2 linked regions of the Sus scrofa genome follow. The protein of the gene in region 1 interacts with the protein of each later gene in a pairwise test. Links are inferred from orthologs where the notes say so. Each region holds a gene or a part of one and is shown on either strand. Other genes may lie near its edges.

Region 1 (4,393 bases):
AGTGGTTAACGAATCCGACTAGGAACCATGAGGTTGTGGGTTTGATCCCTGGCCTTGCTCAATGAGGTTAAGGATCTGGCGTTGCCATGAGCTGTGGTGTAGGTTGCAGGGCAGCTCCCCAACCAGTCAGTCAGTCACTCCGGGTGGCCTTGCTGTGGCTCTGGCATAGGCTGGCGGCTACACTCTAATTGGACCCCTAGCCTGGGAACCTCCATATGCCGCGGGAGCGGCCCAAGAAATGGCAAAAAGACAAAAAAAAAAAAAAAGAAGAAGAAATCTGGACGCAGCCACCAAGAAACCAAGGATGGGCATATAGGTAGAAGGGACCACGTAAGAATGCAGCCAGAAAGCGGGCATCCAGGGGCCAACAAGAGGCACCCTCAGAAGGAACCAAACCTGCTGACACCTTGCTCTTGGACTTCTAGTTCCCACAGTGTGCGAAAATAAATGCATTTTGTTCAAGCTCCCCCCGCCCCCGCCCACCCCACCCTCCGGCCAGGCTATGGTATTTTGTGATGGTGGCCCTCGCATACATTCTTACACCCTCCGTTCCAGGCCCAACACTGCGCACCTCCAGAGCGACACCCTCCTTAGGGCTAATGCTTCTCACGATTCCCTGTTTACACCCCGTTCAACTTTCATTCATCATTTAAGCAGCTCACAACTTGGGCAACCACTGCTGTGCGCCGGGCCTGTCTCCAGGGCTAAGAAGAGCAGCCAAGCGATGAAGCGGCAGGCGCTCTACTGAGTGCTTTAGGTTCACCAACTCATGAAATCCTACAAGAACCGCACGAAGGAGGTACTCTTACTACACCTGTTTTAGAGACGCGGGACCGCGGCACAGAGAAGTCGCATGGCAGTGAGACCCGGCCGGGCGCTCCGTAGTCTCAGCACTACTCTCAAGTGCACTGCGATGGAAGGAGCCGGGAGTCGGTCGGGAAGGGACCCGCAGCTTCCCGCGGGCGCAGCCCCGGCGGCCGGGAGCAACGAGCGGGAGGAGGCCGGGTGGGAACGCGGGTGGGGCTTCCAGGCCGAGGGAGCTGCAAGGGGGGTAGGGCCCCGCTCCAGGACCCTGACTCGGCCTTGGCGTTTCTGAGTTAGAGCACGGCGCGGCCGCAGGCTAATTCCCGCGCGACCCGGCAGCTGCACTGACTCTCGCGCTGCCCCAGGATGCGCGAGGGGCGGCGGGTCCCTGCCCTGCCCGGCCCTGAGGCGCCCAGCCGGACTCCGAAACGCTCCCACAGCGCCGGCCCTGCAAGCCCTCGCGAGGCCGGCCTCCCGACCCGGCGCCCACCTTACCCTCGGAGGCCGCTGCCCGCCCCGCCGCCTCCTCTTCACCTGCGGCCGCCGCCCTCAGCGCAGCTCGCGGGGCAACGCCGGCAGCGGAACCATCCCGACAACGCCCCCTCCGCCGCCGGCCCCGCCCTCCGGCTTCCGGTGGCGTCACTTCCGCTAAGGGGGTGTGGCCGCGGCGCGCAAGCGCGGGAGGTTTCAGAAGCGAATTCTGCGCGGGGAAGCTCGAGCGGGAGGTGGCAGCTCTGCTGGGCGGGCGGCGGCGGCGATTCCACGTGCTCCCCGCGGCCGGTTGAAACCGTTGGCGGGCGCTGGCTGAGAGGTAAGGGGCGGTGTCCCAGAGTCCGACCTAGGAGGCTGGGGCTCAGAGGTTGGGGCAGGGGGTGAGCCGCGGCCGATGCCTGCGTCTCCACGGTTAAGAGCCCCTCTTGGCTTGCACGCATGGAAGGAGGAAATGCGTTCAGATCTTTCTCTTATTCTGGGAAAATGAAAGGAGCCCTGGACTTAGAATGGCCAGTTCCTCTGGGTTTTAAAATGGAAAGGTTCTCATGCTGCGAATCCACAGAGGGGGTTCCAACCAGGATGGTTGATCCCCACCGAACTGGGCTGCAGGCTTGCCACCTGTTGGAGAGAAGGCGCTTTTCTTCTTTTAGTCTTGGGGAGCCCAGTCCCCGAGGAGGAGGCCTTAGGGCATAGTGGTTGAGGGCACGGACTTAGGGCCCGTTCGCTGCATGGGAATCCAGATTTGCCACTAACTGGATGCGTGACCATCTGCAAGTTAGTGAACCTGGTCTGTCGGAAGGAAGTAGTATAGACCTAACTCAGGACTTGTGAGGATTACATGAGCACAAACAGCAGGGGTTGGAACATAGTAGATGCCCAATAAATGCCAGGATTTTCTGCAGCGCCTGCCTCTGAGGACACCTTAGGGGAATGAGGTGGGGTGTGGGTATTTGCCAGGCTGCTTTTCTTACAGAGGGCCCACCAGGGACTTCCTGGCCCATCGTCTCCAGTCCCCCAGTGCCTAGCTTAGGGCTTGAAACGGGTAGGGTTCCACAGAGTTACTATACCCCAGTGAAGGAAGGCTCTTTAAATCAGTGCTGGTGATGTAGTGTGTGGGAGGGTATGAGATTGGAACTTGTAGGTAGAGAGACAGGGCTTGATTTCTTACAGCCTCATTTAGGTCATCTGCGAAGTGGAGATGCGTGAGTTTTTGCAAAGAGCAAGGGAGTGTTAAGTGCAGTCCAGACCCTCGTTACCCCACGTTCGTTCTGGGATTTAGGCGTGAAGATGGATGTTTTGTACTTGTCTCTTCTTTCCTTCCAACACATCCTTGCTGTTCCAAGAATGGAATACCAGATGGGGGATGAGAGAACTGAAGTTCAGCGGGGACAGTGACTAGCTCAAGGTCAGGGTGCTCACTGGGGGCTCTTGACAGCTTAGCCCCTTAGGTGGGCTGTTTTGGTGGTGATGGTAGCCATGGGGCTTGGGTCTGCATATGAAAGAAGGTTTTAAGAATAGTTCCTTTTTTTTTTTTTTTTTTTTTGTCTTTTTGTCTTTTTTGTTGTTGTTGTTGTTGCTATTTCTTGGGCCGCTCCCGCGGCATATGGAGGTTCCCAGGCTAGGGGTTGAATCGGAGCTGTAGCCACCGGCCTACACCAGAGCCACAGCAACGCGGGATCCGAGCCACGTCTGCAACCTACACCACAGCTCACGGCAACGCCGGATGGTTAACCCACTGAGCAGGGGCAGGGACCGAACCCGCAACCTCATGATTCCTAGTCGGATTCGTTAACCACTGTGCCACGACGGGAACTCCTTTTTTTTTTTTTTTTTAACTTGCTAAAAAAATATGTAGGGAGGAAGTTTTAAAAAACCATTCCGAATCCAATCCCAGAACCAAACTTGAGCTCCTGTGATTAGGGAACAGAGTCCTAGTGAGGCCTCCATGGGGTGGGGAGCCAGAGGAGACTGGAGTGAGTTTATGAAGATAAATGGGTGGGTTGAGGGTCATATTTAAAGAAGCATGAGTTTGGAGGGGACTGGGAGCAATGTCAGTGATGGGCACATTAATAGATCACAAGAAATTCTACCACTGGGTAAGGAGGAATCCTTCGCATCTGATATTTAACTTTTCCACACCAGGCTCTTAAGATAGACATGAGACCCATTTTCAGATAAACAGATTCTGCAAAGTCTGGGTAGCTTGAAGTCGTTTCATTTTTAATGGGCAGATGTGGGCTTCAGCTCAGGTCCTCTGGCCCAGGCCCAGGTCAGCAGAATGTGGCCACCATCTCGATGAGAGGAGATTGAGGGGCCCGGATTGCTTTGCAAGCTCCCAGCCGCACACTGATGCTGTCTGCTGCCCGTCAGCTCAGTACTGCTGTCCAGTAGCTGCCATCCTTTGCTGTAACACGTGTGGTCTCCTTGCCCAGGGTGGCCTGGCCCTAGGATAAAGACTTAGGGTGCTAGTGTTTTTAAATGAAAGGTCAAGACATATAAGACACCCGAGCCCAGGAGACAGGGTTCTCAAACGTCTTAATGCCGCATCTTTCCAGCTTTTCTAACAAATACGCATTTATCAAGAAACATCATCATTGAACGTTTGATTAAATTCATCCCACATTTATTTAGTCCTTTGAATGAGTTGAGTCTTTGGTTTTAGGCAATGCCAGCAGTCTTCAATTGGAGGGATTGCTTTGTAATTGTGTAGCCTTTCCACTTCTGAAATCGTTAAGCCTGCCCCAAGACTTGCCACACCCTGTCTACTGTGCCCTTAGGGTGGGTTTGAGCTGGCTCTAGTTTATAGCCCCTCCCTCCCACCACAGACTCAAGTATTTCCCCCCCTGGGCTGGATAAGCTCCTGACAGACCTGATCTTCTTAGCGGGCGGGCGGGAGGCCACCCTGCCCCTCTTCGAGATCAAGTATAAAAACGCAGCCCTGGCTCCGAGAATCCAGAGGAAGGCACTGTGAGACTGGGCTCTGACTCTCTGCGAGCCACCCATTCTACCTTAAAAAAATAAACCAACAGATTTCTAAATGTGAACATCTGCCACAAAAGACCAAGTGAGAGGGTTGGAGGGAGAGGTGTTCTTCCCA
Region 2 (4,361 bases), on another chromosome or scaffold:
TCTGCTATTTCTTTGGGCCGCTCCCGCGGCATATGGAGGTTCCCAGGCTAGGGGTTGAATCGGAGCTGTAGCCACCGGCCTACGCCAGAGCCACAGCAACGCGAGATCCAAGCCGCATCTGCAACCTATACCACAGCTCACGGCAACGCCGATCCTTAACCCACTGAGCAAAGGCAGGGACCGAACCCGCAACCTCATGGTTCCTAGTCGGATTCGTTAACCACTGCGCCACGACGGGAACTCCTAGGCTTGTTTTTTAGGAATTTTACGGCTAAAAATAAATTTTAGAAACAAATCTGAGTCCTGGAATTATGTATTGCCATAGCTATGTGGATATTAACATATTCTGAAGTAGTGGCTATATGGTACCTTCAATAAGACATTCATTAAAACATAACAATGGATAGTAATAGATATACATCTATAGAGGGAAGAGGGAGGGAAGAAAAAACAGACTTGTTTCAAGCCTCAAGTAATATAAATCACTTTGATTAGATCCGGATTTTTTTTCTTTGCTTTCAAGTATCCAGGGTTCGAGAGTTAACAAAAGTTTCCAAAAATGTCTCTTCGTGTGATCAGTATTGTGCCAGGCAATCCAGCAGAACGAGAAAGTACAAGGGGTTATTTCTGCAAGCAAAACCCCTAGCAGCGATAGGACATCTCATGTAGCTGAGTCCCATCAAAGGTGGTGCATCCCAGGCAAACGCCATTACAAGCAACACAGGTGTGCAGAAGCAGCAGTTAATTGGAATTGGGTTCAAAGAAAAGCCTTCGTTTACACCTAAGGTGTCTTGCTGGGACCCGCTATCCTAGCACTCAGCAGTCGACGAAGACAATGAAGCCCACCCCGGGTGAAAAAAGTGGGTCTCCCTACGTCTCCACGATCACCTAATGGCAGGCTTCAGCGACAGGACGAGCCCACCCGCAGCCTTCAGGAGCCGATATACTGCAAGTCTCACGTTTCGGGCCCAGACCGGGGCAGGCTCTCTGGCAATTTTGCATTTGAAATTTTGAAATCATTTTCTTAAAGTGACGCAATCGTCCTCTTCCCCCCCTCCCACCCACCCCTTCAAAAAAAAGGCTGAGCTGCAGGCCTCACAGACTGAAGCTTGCAAGCCCGCGGACTAGCCTCTCTAGGCAGGAAACAGCCTCCTTTTAAGGACACAGAACTGCGGTCTCCTCAAGCCGCTGGGCAGAAGGCGGGGCACCGTCTGCAGCTGAGGACTGCTGGGGCTGCGGGGAGGGCGGGGAGGGCACTAGAGAGCCTGGAGAGCAGGTGGGCGGGGCTGGCGAGGAGCTCCGCCAGAGCTGGGGCAGCAGGGGGCGTGGCCGGGAACGGAGAACGGGGAACCGTGCTCTTGCACGGAGGCTCCACCCCCGCCCGTCCCCCGGAGGGACGCAAGAGGGGAGGAGAAGGGGTGTCGGAGGAGGGGAGGAGGTGGCGGCGTCGGCGCCGGATCGCTTCTCTCGGGGACCGGCCGACCCGTGAGCGAGAACGTAGCTCCGCACTGCTCTTCCTCCCGCTGGAAAACCGTCCCTTCTCACCATGTCTCAAAGCAGGCATCGCGCTGCGGCTCCGCCGCTGGAGCGCGAGGACAGCGGGACCTTCAGGTCAGTGCCCTGGCGGTCGGGACCGAGCCGGGAAAGGCCAGGAGTGGTGGGCAGGAGAGGAGGGGGCGGGGGAGCCGGCTATCCAGCGGCATTCTGGGTAAAGCCCCTTCCTGGCGCTCGCGTCCGGGCTGCTGCTGCTGGAGCGGAGGCTAGCTCTCGGCCCCGCCCTCTTGGCGCGCTGGCCGGGGTCTCCAGCAGGGCCCAGCCCCGCCCCTCCTGTGACCTCGGGCTGCGCGGGGTGGGCGGAGGTAGCACGCGGCAACCCCGGTGGGTTTTGTCGGCTTGGTACTGGAGATTGCAACTCCCGTGCGTGCCTCCCGATTTCCTTGCTACTCCCTTCTACCCGCATTCAAGTTATCTCCCTAAAGACCTCCGTCCCCCTGCCCTCTGCCCGCCGCGGCGGGGTCCGGAGGCTTGGTAAGCCTCTCCAGTCTGGCCCTGGCCGACGGGCAGCTTCGGTGCCTTCGGCGTCACCATTAGGGGCTGTTAAAACTAGTCTCAATGCTTCTATTTCCCTCCCCGTTTTGACGTGCAAAGCACAGCTTTTTCTGGTTTTTGCAGTTTGGGGAAGATGATTACAGCTAAGCCGGGGAAAACACCAATTCAGGTATTACATGAATACGGCATGAAGACCAAGAACATCCCGGTTTATGAATGTGAAAGATCCGATGTGCAAATACACGTGCCCACTTTCACCTTCAGAGTAACCGTTGGTGACATAACCTGCACAGGTCTGTATGCACAGTTAACCCTGATGACCCTGTAGGTTGGCTGTCAAGAGCTGGTATTGCTTCTCTGTTCCCGAAAAGTGTCCTAGAGACATCATTGAGGAGCAGGCTCTTGAAACTGGGACCTTTCCCGGATCATTGGGACGTTTCAACTTCTCTGATTCCCTAATTTTCTCTTCCCTAGATACTAAGAGAAGCTCAGAAACATACCCTGGAACCCTCCTAGGGTTCTTCCAAGAATTAGGTAGAAGCGGGAAAGATTCTTGGAGCAGGCATAGCTGAATTAGTAGATAGTGTCAAGTTTCTTAGGTTATAGCAGATGGCAGAGGGCATGACCTCAGAATTTTCTGAGCTGCTCCCCTCTGTTTGGACTCATTTGGCACTTTGGACCCATTGTACCATGCTGGACTCTATCTAAGCAAGCAACAAGCAACTACAATGTTGTGTGGCAGTTTCTAGTTCTTGACACTGTACAAGTTTTTTAAATAAGATGTTATCTCCCTTTTTTTTTTTTACAGTTGAGGAAATCTGTTCAGAGAGATTATAAGAAACATGCCCAAGGTCACATAGTAGTGAAGTTTCAAGATTCAGATTCACCTATGGTCATTGAGCTAGAGCAAATAATAACTGAAGTAGCCCATTTGCACCTGTAGACATTTTATTTCTTATGTATTTAATTGCAAACACAAAAAATATTGATTACTAAATTTAATTTGGAAGAATGCCAAGGAAAATATTCAACAGGAAGGCTGAAGTTCCACCATCTGGTAATCTGAAGGCATCATTTGTTTGTGTCCCCGTTATTTTCAATTGAAGCCACGTTAAAAAAAAAAATTCAGGATCTTTTTTGTCTGTGTGGGGCAGGTGGATTGTAGCTAGATTTTAGCTAGAAGATTCCTCACAGGAATCATAGAATAAGCATTGCATTACTGCTTTAGCTGGTCTATTTGTAAATGTTGGATGAAAATTCAAGAAAAAGTAGCTCTCCCCCTCCCCCCCCCCCCCCCCCGAGGTTAACAACCTATGGCAACTGCTCAGCCCTCCTACTCTTCTCACACTGCCCTGTCTTCCTGTGTAAGCTTATCTGTCTATGGCTTCAAATACTACCTAAAGGCTGATAATTCTGAAATCTGTCTTCAGCTCAGGCCCAGGTACAGAACAGTGTAGCAGCCTGTGCTTGCTAGACATTTTCACTTGGATGACCCAAAGACACCTCAGTCTCTCACTGACTCAAAATGAATCCATCTTCTCTTTCAAACCCATTTCCCCTGCACTCCCCAGCACAATAGAAGCACCTTTCATCACCCATTTGCTCGAAGTAGAAATTTGAGTTTCATCTTCTTGATCCTTTCCCTTCCCTCCTCTTGTTTCCCAGTCTGCCACCAAACCCTACTTCCTAAATATCTCTCTTTTTTTTTTTTTTTGGCTTTTTAGGGCCATGCCCATGGCATATGCAGGTTCCCAGGATAGGGGTTGAATCAGATCTGTAGTTGCCAGCCTACACCAGAGTCACAGCAACGCCAGATCTGTGCTGCATCTGCAGCCTACACCACAGCTCACGGCAACGCCAGATCCTTAACCCACTGAACAAGGACAGGGATCAAACCCGCAACCTCATGGATTCATTAACCACTGAGCCACAACGGGAACACCCCCTAAATATATCTTGAATCTGCCTGCTTCTCTCATCTTCACATTGCTACTGTCCAAGCCACTTGGATTATAGTTACAGTCTCAAAGCTGCTCGTTTAGCTTCTAGTCTTGTGTCCATTTTCCACATAAAAACCATAGTGTTCTTTCTGGCATTCATATCTTTTCATATACTTCCTCTTCTTAAAATCCATTCTGTTTTTCACATCACCCTCTGGATGATTACAGATTTCTTAATGTGACTGACAATCTTACTTCTCAAAGTGTGAATAACAACAGCAGCATTGATTTCATCTGAGTATTTGAAGGGAGTGCAGAATATCAGACCCCAGCCTAGACCTACTAGATCAGAACATGCCTTCTAACGAAATT

Evidence for each region.
Region 2: the proteins of LYAR (region 1) and PRKRA interact in binary tests that used the Homo sapiens proteins (3 or more experiments, as listed by UniProt). The two-hybrid records come from large-scale screens. The link is inferred for Sus scrofa from reciprocal best matches to the Homo sapiens genes LYAR and PRKRA.

Annotation. Positions count from the first base shown.
Region 1 is NC_010450.4:6,079,882-6,084,274, forward strand, and holds the start of LYAR (cell growth-regulating nucleolar protein), read left to right. Parts: upstream 1-1,450; 5' UTR 1,451-1,615; intron 1,616-4,393. UniProt on the Homo sapiens protein: Plays a role in the maintenance of the appropriate processing of 47S/45S pre-rRNA to 32S/30S pre-rRNAs and their subsequent processing to produce 18S and 28S rRNAs. Also acts at the level of transcription regulation.
Region 2 is NC_010457.5:84,153,568-84,157,928, reverse strand, and holds the start of PRKRA (interferon-inducible double-stranded RNA-dependent protein kinase activator A), read left to right. Parts: upstream 1-1,332; 5' UTR 1,333-1,546; coding exon 1,547-1,611; intron 1,612-2,172; coding exon 2,173-2,342; intron 2,343-4,361. UniProt on the Homo sapiens protein: Activates EIF2AK2/PKR in the absence of double-stranded RNA (dsRNA), leading to phosphorylation of EIF2S1/EFI2-alpha and inhibition of translation and induction of apoptosis.